Arabidopsis thaliana: one gene and its partner. The protein of the gene in region 1 interacts with the protein of each later gene in a pairwise test. Each region holds a gene or a part of one and is shown in the gene's direction. Other genes may lie near its edges.

Evidence for each region.
Region 2: the proteins of chx28 (region 1) and NRT1.8 interact in a protein complementation assay, tested with the Arabidopsis thaliana proteins (one large-scale study listed by BioGRID).

The regions. Positions count from the first base shown.
Region 1 is NC_003074.8:19,312,969-19,318,490, forward strand, and holds chx28 (cation/hydrogen exchanger 28), read left to right. Parts: upstream 1-1,997; 5' UTR 1,998-2,121; coding exon 2,122-2,292; intron 2,293-2,366; coding exon 2,367-3,371; intron 3,372-3,464; coding exon 3,465-4,070; intron 4,071-4,143; coding exon 4,144-4,767; 3' UTR 4,768-5,020; downstream 5,021-5,522. Other genes in the region: AT3G52070 (RNA/RNP complex-1-interacting phosphatase), read left to right, coding at 1-129; AT3G52075 (uncharacterized protein), read right to left, coding at 279-452; NRPB11 (DNA-directed RNA polymerase, RBP11-like protein), read right to left, coding at 5,101-5,133, 5,259-5,354, 5,443-5,522. UniProt on the Arabidopsis thaliana protein: May operate as a cation/H(+) antiporter.
Region 2 is NC_003075.7:11,516,852-11,521,761, reverse strand, and holds NRT1.8 (NITRATE TRANSPORTER 1.8), read left to right. Parts: upstream 1-1,956; 5' UTR 1,957-2,185; coding exon 2,186-2,303; intron 2,304-2,403; coding exon 2,404-2,621; intron 2,622-2,702; coding exon 2,703-3,256; intron 3,257-3,342; coding exon 3,343-4,222; 3' UTR 4,223-4,409; downstream 4,410-4,910. Other genes in the region: CPL1 (C-terminal domain phosphatase-like 1), read right to left, coding at 4,840-4,910. UniProt on the Arabidopsis thaliana protein: Low-affinity nitrate transporter. Involved in nitrate removal from xylem sap. Not involved in oligopeptides transport.

The DNA.
Region 1 (5,522 bases):
AAGAAAGGAGACGTCAAGGACCTGATGCTTATGAGTCTCTCTTTTGCTGTTTATGTTTATATCTCTCAACTATTGGTTTGTGCTTACTTCTCCTGGCAACATCTCAGCTTCCCCAAATCTTCATGGTAGTAGCTAAGCTAGCTCCTCCTTGTAAATTCTGCACAAATCAGTAATAAGATAAGAAATTCAATTCCGACATAGGAGAATTGAGAGTTGTGATCTTTCACTTTGGTCTTATATAATTGAATTGTTAAGCTTCTCATACCTCTTTATCTGCTTTAACTCCGGCAGAAAAGGCAAACCAACCATTGCGATAACACTATCAACCAGTTAAGGCTCTTTGTTTTAGAGCCGAAAGGAGATGCAAGAGCCTCGGGCAGAGTCGCTGAGTATGCCTTGAAAACCAAAACTTTGACCGTAATTGTTAGAAAGAAAGAGAGATTCCTAACCATTTCGTATTGGCCTCCTCCAATTTATCCTCCTTAAACAGAGAGCCCCATCCATTTTCCTTCTGTGTGCTGCACCAAACCTTTCCTCCATAGTCATATCACTGCGAGCTTTTCCCTGTACAATCCAACCTCTAAGTCAGCTATAAGCAAAGAGCTTGGGATAAAAGCTTGGTTGTGGAGTGTTCAGGTAAGGAAACAAGAATCAGCAAATGATCTTAAAGAAAAAACGTTCCTCCTTTGTTTCATCAAATCCAACAACTTCAGCGTCATCTAACAATTCCGCTATAGATGGAACATTGGGAAAAAGAAGAGTTTCCATCTCTCCTATATGCTAAATTCCCAGCAAACATGCAAGAGCGCACGTTCACCAGACTTGATGCTGGAAACACCAATAGCTAAACCGGCCATTACTTGTATCTCTGTTCATAGAGGACATTTCACTCCTTAGTTTTTAATCTTGTTTAAAGCTCTGTATACTAACATAAACATGCATGAATCAGCTTTAAAGCAACAAAAGAAAGAAAGGAAAACTCAATTTCTTTCCTCCCAAATATTCTTTTTCATTAGGTTCACATGAAACGCAAGATTTAAGACCTCAGCTTTACTATCAACTTTAGGTAGGTAAGACTACCTACCATTTTGAGAAGGCTCACAATGCAAAAATGGAACTCACCATCCTTGACTGATTCGGTTTCAGCTCCAGCAAACCAAAGTGTTTCTAATAAACTTGGCCGTGCATTGAACCACGGAGTTCCAAAATCAATGTCTGTTTAAATCATTGGCCCCAGAATTTGAACTACACACAGAGTCACAGACATTCATTACGATGGTTGAATGAAATGGTCTTGACTAAGAAGTAAGAACAACTATGCACAATTGAGAAACTATTAGCTCGATTTCCAGAAACTATCACTATCGTAATATAAAAGTCCCAGGATCGACCAAATCGGACGAGAAAGACTCAATGAAGAAACCCCATAAAAACATGGTCGAAGTCAGTATAAACAAAATCAAGAGTTTGGTCGTCGTTGTGGATTTGGAGGAGAGGAGAGTGAGCTTACAGAGTATGAGAAGCGAGAAGCTCAGGGGAAGTGTGACTCGTCGTCGTCGTCTTCGAAGTCACTCACGACCATCGAGAGATCTGATGATTTTGGTAAAATATCAAAAAAGGACTTCAACTTTTCACTTAAGTCAAAACAAGCCCCTATAAATAAATTCTGTTATTTAAGCCTTGAGGCTTGAGCTGCGTCTTTGTTGTTCACTAGGAGAGTTATTTGAGCGGATAATTTACTAAAACTGAATGTCCATCTCCCAAACAAACATTTTACGTTTTCATGTTATATAAAAGAATACTATATCGTTAGCTAGAATATTGTAGTTAAATATTAAAGTAGTGTATTTTACATTTTGTCTGAACTTTGTCATCTTTGTTTCATGAATGGTCAATGGTGAATAATGGGGAGAGAAGGAACGTGAATAAAGGGATCCACAAGTGTCTCCACCATTTTCTGAGTAAAAACAATCACATCCTTTCATTTTCAAACCCCTAAACCAAATTGTAAAGTCAGAAAAAAAGAAAAAAAGAAACACACATACAAATCGAAAAGCTTTTCTTCATCTCCCACGTTACAATAAGCCCTAAGAACGAATAAGGCAACTACAGAGAGAAAAGATGAATTCAACTACAACAAAAAACGTTTGTGGAGACAAATGGTACCTTAACCTAGACAGGCCAGAAGAGGCATTGAAGATTCTTGTATTCATTGCCATTTTCGTCGTCCGAACTCTCCTCCATTATCTCATGAAGCCTCTAGGCCAACCTTACCTCACCACCGACTTTGCTGTATGTCAAATATCTTTTTGTTCTTTGTCTATCTCTTTTGATTTCTATATTAACTCAAATTTTCTATGCATCAGATAGGGCTAATTCTAGGTAATATTCCAAGGTTTCGAGGGGCATTCTCGGGGCCTTACTCTATAACCCTCAACAACATAATAGAATTTGGAATGATCTGCCATATGTTTGTCATGGGTCTAGAGATGAATCCAAGCGTTCTTCTCAGACCACCAACCAAAGATGCATTCATTGCCTACACAAGCATGATCACGACCTTTGTTCTCGCCTTTGTCACAACTCCTTTCCTCCACTATACCAAAACTTCTCCTTACATTTTCTCCCTCGCCCTCTCCCTCATGGCCTCAAGCACCGGTTCTCCTATCCTAACCCGCGTCATCGCCAATCTCAAAATCAGAAAATCCGATCTTGGAAAACTTGCATCAGCCGCAGGTGTCCATACGGACATGATCTCTACCTTGCTTTACTGCTTCGGCTTCATTTTCTTCCCTACGGAGAAACCTCTCGCTCGTCCTCTCCACAGATTCTTCAGAGCCCTCCTCATGTTTTGCCTCTTCCTCGCTCAGGTCACTTTCACTTCCATTGTATCCCCAATCTTTCTTAATTGGGTCAACAACGAGAACCCTGAAGGTAAACCACTCAAGGGGTCACACCTTGTTATGTCCCTGGCATTTGTCGTCTTGATCTGCAGTTTCCCAACTTGGCCACCTGAATCAATGTACAACCCAATTCTCAGTGCATTCACGGCTGGTCTCTTCCTTCCAAACAAAGGAAGAATGTCGAAATGGATCATCAACAAAATCAATTACTTGCTCAGCACGGTCTTCTACCCTATCTTCTTCTTCTGGGTTGGATTCATAATCCACATGAGAAACTTTGACATTACTGACAAAATGGCGTGGGTAAGATTCTTTTCTCTTCTTGGCACTGTTATAGCCGGAAAAGTCACCGGAACAGTCTTGTGTGGTTTACTACTCGGTTATCATGTCCCGGAAACCGCATCCTTAGGACTGCTTTTGACCACTAAAGGCCATTTTCATGTCTACTTGGCAGCTTTAGCCATTCGGGTACCATCAAGCTTTCTCTTTATGTTTTGTTATTTAAGCTATCATCAAAGTAAGATCTTTACTCTCTTTCTTTTTCGTTTGATGCAAATGCAGACTAACAGGGTGAAAAGTACGACCGGTGCATTGATCATATTTATCATTGTCTTCACGGTGGTCTACTCCCCATTCGTGGTCATGGACATCATCAAACGCGCTAGAAAGCGGGTGCCTGTGCACATCATGGCGCTTCAATGGCTCGATCCAACAACTGAACTTCGGATCTTGATTGGTCTCCACGGTCCCCACAACATTGGTTCTACGCTCAACGTTATGGAGATCTGCCATGGTGGCCGTGAGCCGGGTTCCATATTCTATGCGACTGACATGGTGGAGTTGACTGATGAGATTGCAGCCACGCTGAAGAAGGGCGGAGGAGCCGGTCAGAGTAATGATTCAGTGACGGTAACGGATAGGTCGGTGACGGAAATGAGAGAGAGTATAACGGCAGCTGTGAATGGGTACGGAGAGCTCCGCAATGGACAAGGTGTGACAGTGCGGCGGATGCTGGCGTTGTCCACGTTTGTGACCATGGCCCATGACGTCTGCGGTTTGGCTGATGAACTTATGGTTTCCATTATAATTCTACCGTTCCATAAACGGCTGAATCCTGATGGTACTCTCGATGCTGGTCATGCTGGGTTCCGTCATGTGAACCGCAAGGTAATTGTTCCATCTCAGTAATACTCTGTTTCTTTCAGTTCTCAGAGAGATAATTTGGCATTTGTGTGTGCAGATTCTGAAGAACGCACCATGTTCAGTAGGAATTCTTGTGGATAGGTCGTTCGGGCAAACAGAAGAGGCATGGAGACCAGGAGCGTCCATGGGCATTGCTATAATATTCATAGGTGGCAGAGACGACCGAGAGGCACTAGCCTTCGCTGCACAAGTGGCTCGACATCCTGCTGTGAAATTAAAGGTTATACGTTTCTTGGAAGACAAGAGCTCTCAAAACGCACAAAAACGAAGCAGCATCCTGAACAGAGCGAGTGTGGTAGATCAAGAGGAGGAAATGAAGCTTGATGATGAATGTTTTGCTGAGTTCTACGAAAGATACATAGCTGGAGGTGGAAGAGTGTCTTACATGGAGAAGCATCTCACCAACTCCTCTGAGACTTTCACAGCTCTTAAATCACTAGATGGAGAGTATGGGCTGGTGATTGTAGGAAGAGGAGGGGGAAGAGCGAGCAGTGGGTTAACCACCGGCCTCAACGACTGGCAGCAATGTCCAGAGCTTGGTCCCATAGGTGACGTTCTTTCAGGATCAGATTTCTCACACAACACATCAATGTTAATTATTCAGCAGCAGCGTACTCGGGGTCAGCTAGAAGGGCTTCATGATGACTTCACTATACTGTGAATATCTGTACAAATGCACTTTACTTAGTAGCTTGGGAAGAGTAGTAGCTTCACCATCACAACTCTTAAAGAGACTTTGTACAATAGTTCAAACATTAAGCGGTTTATGTAGATAGAATGGTAAAAAGAAGAGGTAATCTAAGCATTACTTCATAGCATCCTGAAATGGTGTTGAAACATAGAGTTAAAAGAAGTTACAGGCCGATTTGTTTTTGATTTATACAAAGCATAACTAGGGAAAATTTCCCAAGCTCATTATTAGTCTTGATTGGTGCTTAGCAAAAGACAATGTAAAACGTTTTCCCCGATGTGCTGATGGAGAACTCCAAGTTCCTTAAAACTGATTCGAAAACTTGGCCACCTCTGCCTGAAAACACAGAAGGGTATACCATAAGACCAGGTACATCAAACAACATCAATAGCATTTGATATTCGTCTAGCTTATTAACCACATAATCAGATAAGTATATCCGAAGAGAGAAACTTATGTACCTCAAACTGGTTCTTCAAGTAGTCGAGCTCCTTGTCCAAGTCATTGATGGCCTGGTTGTATGCTTGCATTGGGGAAGACTGGCTTGTTGTGTGAATCTACATACAGAAACCACTTTCACAATTAAACAACAACATACAAGATCTTTCTATAAGTCCTTAAGCAACCAGTAATCCCAGAGGAAACTGTTAACACTAGAAGCTTAAACCAAGAAATATTCACGGTTTCCAAACAACCATACACTACTTTTAAGTTCCTAAACCAAT
Region 2 (4,910 bases), on another chromosome or scaffold:
GGTTAGGCGTAAATTAACTTTTGATATATGATATAATCGCATAGTTATTCAAATGGTATAGTCCAAACTTTCCTTCCAATACAGCACAACCATTTACCATGTTCACATACAAGTATACGCATCACATACTTTACGTGATGATTTAGAGATATTTAGATATTAGTCTGATTTTAAGTTCAAAGACACGATAAACCAAATAGTTATATTACATCATTGAGACTTGTAAAGATTTCATGAACTAATTCTAATCATGAGAGTAAATAGACTTTAAATTGAAAAGTACTCTAATGAGAAGAGTAAATAAACTTAAGTGAAATATTTCATATATATACTGTAACTCTAAATCCTCAGGGAATCAGGAATTTATAACTCATATTTGAGTCCTATTAAAATAAGGTGTTGGATTTTGATTATATATTTTTATTTGTTGTTATGATTGAATTTTGATTTATGCAACACAAATATATATATAAAGAGAACGACTTTGTATTGCTTAGTAAATTGTCGTGGACAAATTGGATTTTAATCAGGCGATATTAACACTTCAACTGCCGATCATCCATATCAAAACCTAAATCAAGGTATGTCCGTTCAAAACTACCACTGTTCTACATTTAGTATTTAAACCTAAACATTTTTTTTTTTTAAACCTAAACTTGTTCTTAACCAAGATGCACGTAGTATCTTGTGAATGGTTAATTAACTTAATTTAGTAGGACGTAACAAAGTTATAGGACATTACTAGAAGTCTAGAACATAGTTCTTTCGTGATCATTAAAACTTCGATCCAAATTTTTTTGACACAATGTGTATTAATTTAGATTGTTCGATTCAGATTTAGGTCTAACTTTCTTAGGTAAAAAAGCTGGAATTTGTAAATATCCCCAAGCTTCAATGAATCTAGACATTAATTCGACAGATAAGATTTGCGTAAAATACTATAGAAGATTTAGATGTATTTCATATTTTCACTTATCTAGGTTTCATAATTAACCAATCAGCGAATTGGTATAAATTAAAGTTTGGATTGCCAAATACCAAACATGTTTGTATTTATCCATCCAAATATGAAATCAAATATAATCCTATTTTTGAAAGATAAACAATTCTGTTCACAAAAAAAAATCAGAAAGAAAGATAAAAACATAGTATATGTGAGACACAGAAAAGGATCTAACACAACAAAAAGAAAATTACCAAAACGTATCAAAGATTTAGACTTAAATTAGGGCTTAAACATGGATTAAGAATAGAACCAATTATAATATAAGTTAGGAGTGAGGAAAGTCGTAATCGAATACAGCTACACACGAGCGTAGCGTGCTTGAAAGAGACACCAAATCCTGTTTTAGTGGGGAACTTTCTTACTTTCACTTTTTCCCCTCTTTTTTTTTTCCTATTTAAGAACAATTATTTGGGGTTTTTACTCTTTTTATTTTCCCTCATGTTTTTTGATTTTATCAGTCTCTTCCAGCAGCCCTCCAGGTGTAACTGGTCACACATTCGCTTGGCTTACCTTTAACCAGGTGTTTCTCCTTCTTCATAGATTTTAGGGATGCCAATTTTCAATACTACGTTTTAAGTTCCTATACCGTAATTTATGGTTTTATTCGCATATAACAGTGGCATTTCCGTTTTTTTCCCACAAAGTCAGATTCTCTTCAAATTAAAATTTTTACATAACTACTTTTCGTATTAAATAAATATTTTAGAACGAAAAAGATCATTTAGATTTATCTCTTTTAATTTTTATTCATAAAAACTAGTTAAAAAATTAAAATAGCATATGATTATTATTGAGATAACAAAATTCTGTCGAGAAAAATCCACCGAACATATATTTTAGCAGCCCGTTTCAAAACCTTTACAATTAAATTGATTAAATTAAACACCATAGAAAGAAAGAGACGTCAAAGAAAGGATCTCTTCTGAGTTCTCTGACTCAATTTCTGAGCTCTCTATAAATATAAGCTCTCTTCTTCACACTTTTAATGCAACTCTCAATATCACTATTAAATATCTTTCTCTTTTCACTTCTTCACTTTCCTCGATTCCTGAGTTTTCGATCCTTTTGTTCTCTAACCACCGGTTTCCTCTTTAACCGGTCTCTGGATAATCATCATAATCATTAGGATCATCAAGATAAGGAATCTTTTTGAGTATATCTCTACACCAAATCGAATCTATGGATCAAAAAGTTAGACAGTTTGAGGTTTGCACTCAAGACGGTAGCGTTGATCGTCACGGCAATCCAGCTATCCGAGCTAATACCGGCAAATGGCTCACTGCTATTCTCATTCTAGGTAATGATTCTCTCTCTCTTTCTCTCTATATATACCACTGTTCTTTGTCTTAAAGTGTTGTGTTTTGGATTCTAAAGAAATGGGTTTTTGGTTGATATAGTGAATCAAGGACTAGCTACGCTTGCGTTCTTCGGTGTAGGAGTGAATTTGGTTCTGTTTCTGACTCGAGTGATGGGACAAGACAATGCAGAAGCGGCTAATAATGTTAGTAAATGGACAGGAACTGTCTATATCTTCTCTTTGCTTGGTGCTTTCCTCAGTGACTCTTATTGGGGACGTTACAAGACTTGTGCTATCTTTCAAGCAAGTTTCGTTGCAGTAAGTGTCTTCAACACTGCTCTGTCTTTTTCTAGGGTTTGTTTCTTTAACAATAAGTTAACATGTTTTAATGGATTATAGGGGTTGATGATGTTATCTTTATCTACTGGTGCGTTATTGCTTGAACCAAGTGGTTGTGGAGTTGAAGATTCGCCGTGTAAGCCTCATTCGACGTTTAAGACGGTTCTGTTTTATCTGTCGGTGTATCTAATCGCGTTAGGGTATGGTGGTTATCAGCCGAACATAGCTACTTTTGGAGCTGATCAGTTTGATGCGGAGGATTCCGTTGAAGGACACTCGAAAATCGCGTTTTTCAGTTACTTTTACTTGGCTCTGAATCTTGGATCGCTCTTCTCAAATACTGTCTTGGGTTACTTTGAGGATCAAGGGGAATGGCCGCTTGGATTTTGGGCGTCTGCTGGCTCTGCTTTTGCGGGGTTAGTGCTTTTCTTGATTGGCACGCCAAAGTACCGACACTTTACGCCTAGAGAGAGTCCTTGGTCTAGATTCTGCCAAGTGTTGGTTGCTGCAACAAGAAAGGCTAAGATTGATGTGCACCATGAAGAGTTGAATCTCTATGATTCTGAGACTCAATACACTGGAGATAAGAAGATTCTTCATACCAAAGGCTTCAGGTAAGATAACCAATTAAAAGTTCTGTTATAATCTCAGAAACCATCGTCAAGATCAGTGTTAACTCTCTCTCTATTATTTTCTACAGATTCTTGGATAGAGCTGCTATTGTTACACCTGATGATGAGGCTGAGAAAGTAGAGAGCGGATCGAAATACGATCCATGGAGGCTCTGCTCGGTGACTCAAGTCGAAGAAGTGAAATGTGTATTAAGACTCTTACCAATCTGGCTCTGCACCATCCTCTACTCTGTGGTTTTCACCCAAATGGCTTCACTGTTCGTTGTGCAAGGAGCAGCGATGAAGACAAACATCAAAAACTTCCGGATTCCAGCTTCAAGCATGTCTAGTTTCGACATTCTCAGTGTCGCCTTCTTCATCTTCGCATACAGGCGGTTTCTTGATCCACTCTTTGCAAGACTTAACAAAACAGAACGCAACAAAGGTCTCACTGAGCTTCAGAGGATGGGGATTGGGCTTGTGATTGCGATAATGGCGATGATTTCCGCAGGAATCGTAGAGATACACAGACTGAAAAATAAGGAACCGGAAAGTGCTACTTCGATCTCAAGCTCCAGCACTTTGAGCATTTTTTGGCAAGTACCTCAGTACATGTTGATAGGTGCATCAGAAGTGTTCATGTACGTTGGTCAACTCGAGTTCTTCAACAGCCAAGCACCAACCGGGCTAAAGAGCTTTGCAAGCGCGCTATGTATGGCTTCAATATCTCTTGGGAACTATGTAAGCAGTTTGTTAGTTTCCATTGTCATGAAGATCTCTACAACAGATGATGTGCATGGCTGGATTCCTGAAAATCTCAACAAAGGACACTTGGAGAGATTCTACTTCCTTTTAGCTGGTCTAACCGCTGCTGATTTCGTGGTTTACTTGATTTGTGCCAAATGGTACAAGTATATTAAATCTGAAGCAAGTTTCTCTGAGTCCGTAACTGAAGAGGAGGAAGTCTGAGTCAGGAGCTAGAGAGTTTTGTGTTTTATTTTAATGCTGTGAAGCTTTTTACAGTAATTTGTTTAAAGCTGAGCTTGTTCTGTGATATAAACTGGTCTTATTGTGTTTTTATTTTTGGGTTATACTCTTGTGCAAAGTTTAGTTGATGTTTCTCAATAAAGGATAAGTTGATTCCACAGTTCCAACACATAGTTTATGTAACTTTTCTCATAACCTTTGAATCAGTCAAAACCTAAACACTTACTAGTAGAACAGTAAAAATTTACAATATTAAATCAAGCTCTTAATGTTGTAGTGAAAACAAGGACTGTTAACTATGGAAACTGCAGAAAAAGCTTTGTGGAAACTTAACAGCCTGAGAACAAGCTAAACGTTCATCCTTAGGTCTTATCTTTGTGGCCACTCGAGCTGATGCTTCAACTCAAGAGTTTCTATGATACAAAAATCGCGAACCGCCTCAAATTGTTGTTACATCAATACAAGAGAGGCAACTCTCGCTGTCTTGATCATCATTTGGCGAAGAAAGGAACTTGACAAAGAATTCGTCTTGGTAGCTGTTTTTACCAAGAGAATGGAATTAATGTAGAATGTGGTTCGTTCTTCACATGGTTTTATTTTTAAGAGTATCTTCCCGAAGATGGCATCCGTTGCAGAGACCGTTGAAAGTCCGGCTTTAATCGCTTGTTTG